Yarrowia lipolytica: one gene and its partner. The protein of the gene in region 1 binds, or shares a complex with, the protein of each later gene. Links are inferred from orthologs where the notes say so. Each region holds a gene or a part of one and is shown on either strand. Other genes may lie near its edges. The genes, in order: YALI1_F32167g and YALI1_B04937g.

The links.
Region 2: YALI1_F32167g (region 1) and YALI1_B04937g share a complex: the UniProt entries of both Schizosaccharomyces pombe proteins name them as parts of the condensin complex. The link is inferred for Yarrowia lipolytica from reciprocal best matches to the Schizosaccharomyces pombe genes cut14 and cnd2.

What each region holds. Positions count from the first base shown.
Region 1 is NC_090775.1:3,212,654-3,218,877, forward strand, and holds YALI1_F32167g (uncharacterized protein), read right to left. Parts: upstream 4,132-6,224; coding exon 613-4,131; downstream 1-612. Other genes in the region: YALI1_F32204g (uncharacterized protein), read right to left, coding at 5,421-6,224. UniProt on the Schizosaccharomyces pombe protein: Central component of the condensin complex, a complex required for conversion of interphase chromatin into mitotic-like condense chromosomes.
Region 2 is NC_090771.1:490,710-495,570, forward strand, and holds YALI1_B04937g (uncharacterized protein), read right to left. Parts: upstream 3,014-4,861; coding exon 794-3,013; downstream 1-793. Other genes in the region: YALI1_B04947g (uncharacterized protein), read right to left, coding at 3,855-4,003, 4,046-4,163; YALI1_B04950g (uncharacterized protein), read left to right, coding at 4,317-4,861. UniProt on the Schizosaccharomyces pombe protein: Regulatory subunit of the condensin complex, a complex required for conversion of interphase chromatin into mitotic-like condense chromosomes.

The DNA of each region.
Region 1 (6,224 bases):
GTCCATGTAGCACATGGCAGCGAGCCAAACAAAGAAGCAGTGGCATAGAGTATTTTTCACCCGGAGAAAACTTTTTCGACTGTGGGTAAACACCAGTTGCCGGAGTGAGCCTGTTGCCACACATAGCAGTGATGTGCCTCTAACTACCAGGACCATGTCTCAAGGCTATTTACTAATTACACGTGTCCCAGTACACGTTTCTTATACACGTTTCAAACAACAATATGTACAGTATATACTGTACACTTCTTCCTGTCTCACTCTTGTCTGGCTTCTCTTTCCTCACCGCCGTTAAACCTAAGAGACACACACCAGCCAGTAGGAAACCAAGTAGACTGTGAGACACTAAGACCTGACTAATTCCAATTGCATTGAGTCTAGAGCTTTGGGTGTGTTGCGAGATAACATCTTCGTACATAAGTGTTCGCTACTCCGTTGTAGGTCTCATGTATCAAAATGAAATTAATGGTACAGCCTCTCTGTAGGTACTGGGTCCTGTATCATTTTTCATTCGTGATGCTCAGCATTAGCACTTATATGAGTGTATGTACTGTACAGCATGGTAGACACTCGAATACATATAAATACATTAAAATACAACCCACATAAATCCTACATGGCAATGACGGACGACGAGCCCTCCTGGAATCGAGCCTTGAAGACTCGGTTGGCGTTGCTGAAGAATCCCTCTTTAAGCGACACAACAATGAACTGCGAGCCCTTGAATCGCGTCTTGATCAGATGACCAATGTTCTGAGTGTGGTTCAAATCCAAAGCAGCATCAACCTCATCAAGAATGTACATAGGAGCAGGCTTGAACTGGAGCAGAGCCAGAATCAACGACAGAGCAACTAGAGATCGCTGACCTCCAGAAAGCTCCGCCAGAGACTCCTTCCAAATCTTACCCAGCATGACCTTGATTTCCAGACCCTCGGTAATCTCCTTGCCCTCCAGAAGTACCAGCTTGGCGAAGGAGCCAGGCAACAGAGTCGCGAAGATCTGACCAAAGTCCTCGCTCACCTTCTTCCACGTCTTGGTCAGAGCCTTGCATTTGTACTCGTTCAAAGACACAATGGTCTGCTCAATCTTGACCTTGTCCTTCTCGATGGTCTTGATCATACCTCGTAGAGTCGCTTCCTTCTTCTCAACGTTGTCAATCATGTTCATGACCTTGTCGTTGACCTTGTGTCCGAGACCCTTGATTCGCTCCTCCAACTGGCCAGCGGCCCGTCGCACCTGCTTGATGTCCACACTCTCGTAGTCATAATGAGATCCGGGCTTGCCAAACAGGTGAGCGTCAGCAGCGACCCAGTTGTACTTGGCCTCCATGGCAGTGGCGCCCTTAGAAGCATCTTCCAGCTCCTTCATCTTACGGGTATGAAGATGCTCAGCCTCCTTTGCAGCGACAAGAGCATCGGCATGGAAGTCTCGTTTCTGTTGAAGAGTAGCCTCCAAAGATCGTCGCTCCTCGTCCATGCCATGCAGAGCAGCCATCATCTCCTCAACCTGCTGGGTCAGAGAAGCCTCCAGAGCACGGGCCTCGTCCTGCTGAGTCTCCAGTTGAGCAAGGCCGCCTCGGGTAGCCTGAATTGCCTCTTTTAAAGCCTCGGCCTCGTCTTTCATACCAGTAATGTCGGACATAAACTGCTCGAGAGAAACCTGGATGTCCTCATGGGCAGCTGAGGCCTCGTCAACAACAGACCGGTGCTGAGCTACTTCAGCAGCCATTTCTTCGACAGAAGCAGCCAGCTCCTCAAGCTTACTGCCCTTGTTCTTTCCAAAGTCAGCCATGTCTCTCTCGATAGTTCCAATCAGAGCAATGGCGTCTTCAAGCTTCTGGTTGAGCGTGGGAAGGGACTCCTGGAGCTCATGAAGCTCGGCCTCCTGTTCCTGCTTCTTTCGCAGAACAGAAGCACTGGAAGAAGACTCCAGTTGCTTCTCGCCGGTCTTGATCTCGTGCTCCCGAATTGAAAGCTGGTTTTCAAGCTGTCGTCGCTCAGAGATAACTTTGGAAAACTGAGCCATGGACTTCTGGATGTTGCTGAGATCGTATCGAGCCTCCTCCAGCTCCTGTGTAAGGTTGTTGATGCTCGTCAACTTCTTGAGAAGATCTCCACTTCGCTGCTGAGAGCCTCCAGAAAGGGTACCCTCAGGCGAGTAGTGATCTCCCTCCAGAGTCACACAATGAGCACGAATCTGGGGATGGTAAGCACACTTCTTTGCGGTCTCGGTATCTACACACACAAGAGTGCCGCCAAAAACATAAGCCATGGCCTTAGCAACCTCATCGGAGTATCCAACTAGCTCTAGGGCACGTCCAACCCGGCCGGGGGCCACCTGCTGGGCCACGGCGAGTCGCTCCGCAGAAATTAGACCTTCGGCAGCAATTTTATTCAGAGGAATCATGGTGACTCGTCGCTTGAGTCGGCCCCGCTGTAGCAGCTCCTTACCGGTGATCTCATTGTCAACAACAACGTTGAACAGCTTGCCTCCAGCAGCAACCTGCAGAGCAATGCACTTGTCCATGTTCTCATCTCCAATGGTCAGCAGTTCGGCCACGAAACCCTTGACGGATGAAGCAGAGAAGTTGGCATGAGGACGAGCGTAGGTGAACTCGGAGAACGACGCTTGACGCTTCTCGGAGTCAATTCGAGCAGAAAGAGCATCGATTCGCGACATGCACTCGCGCTCCTTTCCGGTCCAGTCCTCGTCGGCTCCGGGAACAGCCATAAGACGCTCCACTTCAGCTTCCAGAGCTCCTTTGGCTTCTCGCAGACCAGCCAGCTTGTCGAGCACGCTCTGGTTCTGGCTCTCAGCCTTGGCGACCTTGGGAGCGTCTCTTTTGAGAGCCTCTGTCAGATGTGAGATTCGCATCTGAGCACGATCAATTGCCACACGAGAATCATTGGCCTGTTCACGTGCCTCAGCAAGTTGGCGCTGGTAGCCAGACTCCTTACCGGCCGAAGATGCGATACCGGTCTGAAGCGACTGTAGCAGTTCACGCTTGGACTCGAGAGCCTTGGTCATGGAGTCAAGACGCTGTGTTTGAGCGTCCAGTTCTCTCTGGCTAGCGTCAACTTCGGCCTGGCGCTTCTGGAGCTCCTCGGTTCGATCAGTAGCCTCAAGACTGGCTAGTGAATCTTCTTCCTCGGTAAGCTGGGACCGTTTCAGGTCGATTGTAGTGTTGAGACGCACCACTTCATGGGAGGCAGCCTTGGCCTGCTTTTGAAGAACAGAAACATTCGTATCTTTAGACGCCTCGGCTGCCTGACGAGCCTTGACCTCGGCAATGTCCTGCTCGAGCACGCCCATCTCGTGTGTGTTCTGCTCCACTGCTAGGGCCTTTGCTTCCTTCTCGGCAACAATCGCTTCAATAGCGGCGGTCATCTCCTGAGCACCCTGGGTCAACATGATGTAGTCATGTGCCACAATGAGCTTGATAGCCCGCTCGAGGTCGGACTGGGTGTGTTGGTACTCGAGGAACGACTTCTTTTCCTGTCGCAGCTTATCCAACTTGGGCTTAATTTCCTCCTCCAAAAGCAATGCACTTTCCTGGCGCCGGGCATCCTTCTTCGCCATAGTCTTGAGAGCCTTCTCCTTTCGATCCTCGTACATTCGAGTTCCAGCGGCCTCCTCGATGAGAGCCAGCACCTCGGCAGGCTTCATGTTCAGTACTTTGGTGATTCGACCCTGCATGATCAGAAAGTTGGGATTGTTGATATTGAGCTGGACCGATTGGAACAAATGCTGTACCGTCTGCTGCTGCGCTCGGTGACCGTTGATCAGGTACTTGCTCGTGCCTCCAAGCACAATCTGACGGGTCACCGAGATCTGGGCGTACTTCTCGAACCCGATAGGACTAGTGGCGGTATCTGAGTTGTCGAAAACAATGGTGACACTTGCCTTGGTCACACCGGCCTGTCCTCGCTTGTAGATGAGATCCTGGAGGTTCTGAGCTCGAACAGTAGCCATGGTCGTGATACCTAGCACGAAACAAATGGCGTCCAGAATGTTGGACTTGCCACTACCGTTGAGACCGGTGATACAGTTGAACTGCGGGTCCCATCCGGAGATGACTGTACGCGTGGCGTACGACTTGAAGCCGTCGATTACGAGCTCTTCGACTTTCATTTAGGTGTTGAGAGGTGTGGTTTAGAAAAAGAACGTTAAGCGTGTTTCGTGTTTGGGACCTGTTGTCCCAGCAACGGTTAGAGTTTTGAGTGTTACACTTTAATTCGCCGCGAAAGCTACTCGTAAGTAGTTGAAGTACTGATTATAGGTGCGTTCTGTTACCAAAAACAATGGCTACACATTACAAGTAGTCGGTTCCATTGCAGCAAAAAATGACAACCGAGAGATTCGAACTCTCGCCTCCGAAGAGACCAGGATATTCGTTAAGGTGTTAGCCTTAACCTGGCGCCTTAGACCGCTCGGCCAGGTTGCCCGAAATGTGCCAGATTCGGGTCCGTTTCTTATTCCAAAAGTGGTTCGGGTCACGTGATTACTGTACTGTAATGAATCTGTAATGAATCATTAGAATAAAAATAAAAAACCGTGTTTCACTAGAATAAACAAAATTCCTAGTTGATTTTCAGAACGTCTTACCAAGTGGCAAGTGTGTGTTCTATTGTTCTTTACTAAATGGCATGGAAAGTATCGCATCACTGCTGTATGATGGGCTCAGAGCTGTTCTCCTGAAGCTTGAGGAAAAAAAACAGAAAAGGAGAAGAAGAAAAAAATCATTTGACGATGAAGATCGATGGGGCGTTGTTTTTGGAGCCCCTGTGGAGCTTCTTCTTTACTTTTTATTTTTATTTAACCAGGGGCCTGTGGGCAGGTGTTGGATGTTGTGCTTGTTTACCACATCTTGATTTGGAGTTGTATAGGATGTCTAACTCACGCGACAAGTACTTACACAATTGTGTGTGACAAGAAATATACAGTACATTTTACACGTGTAAGTGCCCGATATTCATTCCTAACTACAGCAAGGGCGTAGAAACTCCTTAACACCAAAATCGAACGCCATTTTTTTTTATTCTAATTACAAAAATCAAACGTTTTTTTTCTTTTCTAATGATTCGTGACTAAGCAGAAAGCACAATGTTTGCCTAACGTTTTCAAAAATCGGAAGATTTTTCAGGCATCCTGGCCGAGCGGTTAAGGCGAGAGATTAGAAATCTCTTGGGGTTTCCCCGCGTAGGTTCGAATCCTGCGGACGTCGCCATTTTTTGTTGATCCTGAACAGATACGAACCGACACTTACTGTAACTCGTACCCTTAGAATATGCGTACTGTACTTGGATTCGTGTCCTCGAGTCATGTCTCAATCTCATTTTAAGTAGCTACGATTACTTATCTCGTCGCTCCATTTTTGAAATGCAATAATTATACAAGTAAACAGGAACAGTAAACAGATACTAGCGGAAACCTCCAAGAGTCTTTCTTCGCTTGGAACGCTTCTGAGACCCGCCCTGTGAACCGGAGGGGCCAGCAGATTGTCTTCTCGTGTCCTGAGAGGCAACACGAGCTAGCGACGAGCGATGGGAGCTGGACGGAGCCAAAGATGCTCGCTGCGAAGGAGCCTGGCTCGATAGAGACAGTGTGGGAATCGTGTTTCTGCTGGCAACAATCTGGGAAAGCAGCTCCTGCTGAGTAGGGGCCTTACGCTTATTCTTGCGCGTTCCAAATTCGACCCAATCATCGTAGTTGGTTTTGGGAGGCGCACCTATCACCCAGTCATCCAACATCTTTGTAATATGCACCGGAACGTCCTTTTCCTTTCCTCTGTCTTCTTTGGAGCGACGTACGCTACACGTCAGGTAGCAGAGCGTAGCTGCCAACCGACGACACATACGCTCAGTCTTGATGCGATACTCTATGAGGTACTTTCCAAGAAGAGGATTGCCCCGATCAGATGTGTCAGTCGAGGGAGTGACGTATACACTCATGAGTTCCTCGTACTTTTTCACTGGGTCCACATTTGGGAAGATCCGGACCGCAGAGGTGCTATAATGTTTCTGCAACTCGCCCAGCATCTCCCCAAACTCATCAATCGACGAAGGTGTGTCGTCAGCTCCCAATTGAGCTAGAGACGTTCTACCGCCAGGACAGCCTTCCTTGTGCCAGGTCTTGATGAGACCATCAAGCTTCCCAGCAATCTCAGACACACCAATGGGCTCTGGAAATGGTGGCGGTAGCATAAACTCGTCATAGCCTTCAAA
Region 2 (4,861 bases), on another chromosome or scaffold:
GACTAAATCGCATGAACAACGACGACCTTTGAGCACGTGCAAAAGCTCGTTTTTTGACCCTCCTTCATTTCTTATATAAAGCCGCCTTCCCGCCTCCAAAAACAGCTTCCCCACCTTCCATTTATCGCCGGGCATGAACCCCTTCCATGTGGGTACTTGCGGTAGACTTATTTATGTCAACCCCTGAATCGATCTTTCGTGTGATCCATTTAAAGTTCGGCCGCGCGAAAAAAAAATTAGACGCAACTCACGGTGGTAGCCTACTACTTGTACTTGTACACGCAAATACCACCCAAAAAAGAGAGCCCGACGTGGGGCTTGAACCCACAGCCTTGAGATGACCTTGGAATAAGAGTCTCACGCTCTACCGATTGAGCTAGCCAGGCATTTTGTTGAAATTTTAGAAATCGTTCCCATCACACTCGAAAATTTTGATCACGTGACCAGAACTAAAAATAGAATCTAAAATAGAATATTAAATAGAATAAAACATCCCGACATTTGGATACGCTCACAAAAAAAATCAAATAAAATCGGGGAAAATGTATATTATTGATAATTAGGTAGAAGATGTGGTTTACACGATGAAATAGGTCACTCGAGGATATTATATAGATGTGTTTTTGCTTTTCATGGCATCATATGGAACTTACAGACAAAACTCCAAGATCACCCAACCCCTTGCCAAAACGGTTTACCGCCCTTCACTCTACAAACGCTCTCATCACTCATCATATTGTACACTCATTATTATATACGATCAATAAATTACACAACTGCTGTCTCAGTCCCATTATGCTCCCAGCTGATCCAGGCGAACATTCATATCCTTGCTGATGGCCAAGTCGGCCAAATCATCCTGCTGGTCGATACTGAGACCCTTCTCGTTAGCCAGATGCAACAGACAGATGAACACAAACGAGGTGGAGATCTCCTGCTTCTGTTGTCGGGGGTACTCGGCTCCCACCTGCTCCACGAGCTGGGTGAATCTCTTCTCCTCCACCTTTGCTGCATCCTCAACCATGTCGCCATTGTCCACCAACTCGTCCACCTTTTCATAATCCATGACTCTCCAAAGGTTGTCCTTCAATTTACGAACATCCACTCGCTTGGCCACCTTGGCGTACGAAACGTACTCTGGATGAGCCTTGGGCAGGCCCAGGAACGACGCATTGTGAGGCCCACCCATATCTGTAGCTCCTCCATAGTCGTCAAAGTCGTCATAGCCGCCGAAATCATCTCCATCGTCGTTCTGGCCAGGTATATCAACAGGTTCAGGTTCAGGGCCCTGAACACCGTATTCTGCCAGCTCCTCGTTGAAATGCTGAGCCCAGAAATGTTGGTCGGCGTCCTTTTCGCTCTGGAGAGTGACTCGATGCTTGAACAGTAGACCGGTGATTCGCTTGCCGGGCTTGATGAACAGCTTGACAAGATTGTCGGTGGAGAAGTGCTCGTCGTTAGGGAGCAGGTTGTTGGTATCAGATCGCTGCTGGGCCTTGGTGAGCGACAGAGTAGACATGTGTGCTGGTCGACCAAACAGCACAGCCTCGTCAATATCGTTATCTTCGGAAATGAAGTCAACTTCGACAGGAGCGGCCTTCTTCTTTGTCTTGTCAGCCTTCTCGCCTTCTTCTCCTTCCTCTCCATCTTCTCCAACATTATCTCTGCTTTCAATGGCCTTCTTCTGAATATCTCCCCGCAGCTTTTGGACCTTCCAGTGCTCAGGGCCGGCCCAGTTCTTCTTCAAGGTGTGATCAAAGTACGCCAGAAGATCAGCCTCGTTAATGGTGGGCTTGTATCGAGGGTCAGAGGGACCCACCCCGCCTGGAATAGCCACATCCTGAGCAATCTCGGCATACTGCTCGTTCATGGGGTTGTATCCAAACTCGAAATCCTCCACGGGACCTCCAGGTCCATCGTCATCGCCTCCTGCTCCAAGGTCGTCAAAACCAATATCTCCAAGAGCGGCATCGTCCAGAATGTCTTCGTCTCCTCCGTAGTCGAGCTCTGGCATGGAAGGTCGGTCATCGAGATTGTCGACTTGCAGACCCTCGGGAAGATTACTAGGGTCCTTGAGAGCAGCCTCGATCATAGCTGCAGAAGGACAGACGGACTTTGTTGCCAGAATAGACAGGTCGGGGAAAAACTTCGCCCCCAGCTGCTGCAGAGAAAAGCTGTCGGCACTATCATCCTCCATGTCTTCGTCTTCGCTAAGGTCGGCAAAATCTCCCTTACTAATCTCCTGGTCGAAATCTCCATCGAAAACCACGCGACCATTCTTGTCGATGCCCAGAGAGTTCATCAGCATGCCCTTGGCGCCTCCCTCATCGAAATCGGCACACATCTTCTTGAAAAGAGGATCGATAGAGAGTTCGAGCTCAAGCTTCTTAGCAGCATTCTCCTCAAAGCTCTTAGCCAGAGTAACTCCTCGAGGACGAACGGTTTTTTTCTTCTTCTCTCCTCCCTCCCCTTCCTCACCCTCCTGCCCTTCCTCCTCGTCGTCTTCATTACCGATATCCTCTCGTCCTTGCTTAGTAGCCAGTCCAGTCAACAATCGACCAGTCTCGGTGGCTGCGGAGTCAATACGAGACGAGTAAATCTTCATACAACCGTCCAGAGTGACGGAAGCACGTTGGAAGTTGATTCCGTCGCCCTCCTTAAGCAGCGACATGTCATGAAAGTAGTCAATGAGCGCGAAATTCCACGAATTCTGCGCATTGATCTTGTTGTCGTTCACCATCTTCATCCACTCCTCAAAGTTGGCCATGATGGGAACTTGGGGAGCAGCATTGTTCAGATGATCTCTAAGGCCCTCGTCAACGTCCTCACCAGCATTGGCGCCAGGAGAACCGAGCGAAACAGCTCCAGGAAGAATACTGAGACGCTTGGACTGTCGTCGCTTCTGCTTCTCGGCAGCGTCGTCGTTCATATGGACCAGTTTTTGCAGAGAAGGCTCGGATTCGCCCTGTTGGAGAAACCGTCCGGAAGACCGTCGTCGAGCTGGTCTTGCCATTTTCGTTTATCTGAATGTTTAGTTAGTCGTGTTGACGGATCGAAAAGTGTAAAGAGGTTTCTGTATATTCTGTATATTTACAAAATAGCCTTCACGCGTTGTTGTGTGCCGTTGTCCTGGCAACCGCGTAAAATAACCCTAACCCGAAGCTTCCGTATTTGGGGGCGGTGCGAAATCTGATGGCGTAGGTAGTAATACAAGCACGACTACAAGTGTATTACCAGCTGTTCGAAGGCCATATTCTAGACAGTTCGAATCGCCTTGAACCACCGCATACATTCCAATGCCCTAACCTGTACCGGTACATTTAACCCATCGTTCAGTGGCTGACCCATCAATAGCGCCGCCTGTTACCCCAGTTGGATGTACGCACGCGGTTCTGGAGATTGAGTTTGGAGGTCAATATGGGAGTGGTCTGGGTCGTCGGGACTCGCTTCACAGTTCATCAGTGGTGATGGATAGAAGGAACCGCGTAGCCCAAGGACTATGAAATTTCGTGATACCAAAAGCGGTTGAGAGAAAGGTGGGGCAATGAGAATTTCGGCTTGTTCCCCAATTGACAATGTGACTAGGGCTAGTCCAGTTGTGCCACATTGGGCATTCAGCAAAGAGGAAAAACGTTCAATAAAGAGGAAAAACGCACAGCCTTGAGATATTGGAACTGGGGAGACTGAATCGGGATATGCAAAGGCAAGGTGAAAAGAGATGGTCGGCGAACTGGATATCTCCAAAATGCGACGTTTTATGGCTGTCGATGCGGTCATTCCTACCATGTGTGACGACCTGTCGAGAATGGCTTTCCAATGATACCCATCATGTTATGATTCTACGCGAGCGCCCTCTAGATCAAGAGCCCTGAAAGTGCACTCCACCACTCAAACAGAGTGACAAGATAGAGTTGACCTCTCCACCCACTCGCCGCGTATAATAGAGGGAATGACTGTGTGTCTTCACATATAAACCCCCTTCTTCCGGTTCCTTCTCCTTTATCTAGTCAGCTCTGGATTCACACACACACGCACACACGCACACTTGGCCTCTTCTTGACCTGTCTGTATAGCCGATATTGCAGACACAGACTCAGATACAGACACAAACACACACAGACTTGTTTCTCAGCATTCTTACTCAGACTAGCACAGACACACATCCTTTCTTCTCACGCCCACTACATCGACCTAGTGGCCCACAGAAACAGCGTTACGGTGCTTCTATCACACATTGTGACTCAGTCTTGGTCAGTCACATCTCTGCCACAGACACAGACACATAATCCCACACCCACCTCATCCCACGACTCCAGATGCAGTTCCTACCCACGCTTGTGCTGCTGGCCCAGTGCCCAGACAATGTGGTGTGTATGCTTCCGCTGAGATCCTTCAAGCTCCGCCTTCTTCTTGCCTCCGCAGTGGATCCGGTCGCGCTCCAGGACATTCACGACGACCTTCCCACCCTGGCCGAGTTCGTCGACAGTCTCCGTCATCTCGCCTCCCTCATCCCCATTGGCCTCCACCTGGCTCGCTCCACCCAGGAGAACCAGACTATCATTGACCATCTTTCTGTTCCGGTTCTCTCCGGCTTTCTCCAGCGGCTCACTATGCCTGCTGTCAAGCCAGTGACCCCCGTGGACGCTGCTCCTGCCGGCCTGGCCCCTACCCGGACCCCTACTGCTCCTCTCGACCTCGAGAAGATTGCTCTGAGCCCAGACGTTTTTGATCATTCACCTATTTTCACTCTCAAGACCCACACCAGCTTCTCCAGCGTTGGGTCTTCTTCTCTCACCGGCTCGGCCTCTAGCTGTACTACCATGGTAAGCTCGCCCACCTGGAACGCCAAGGTCTCCAGATC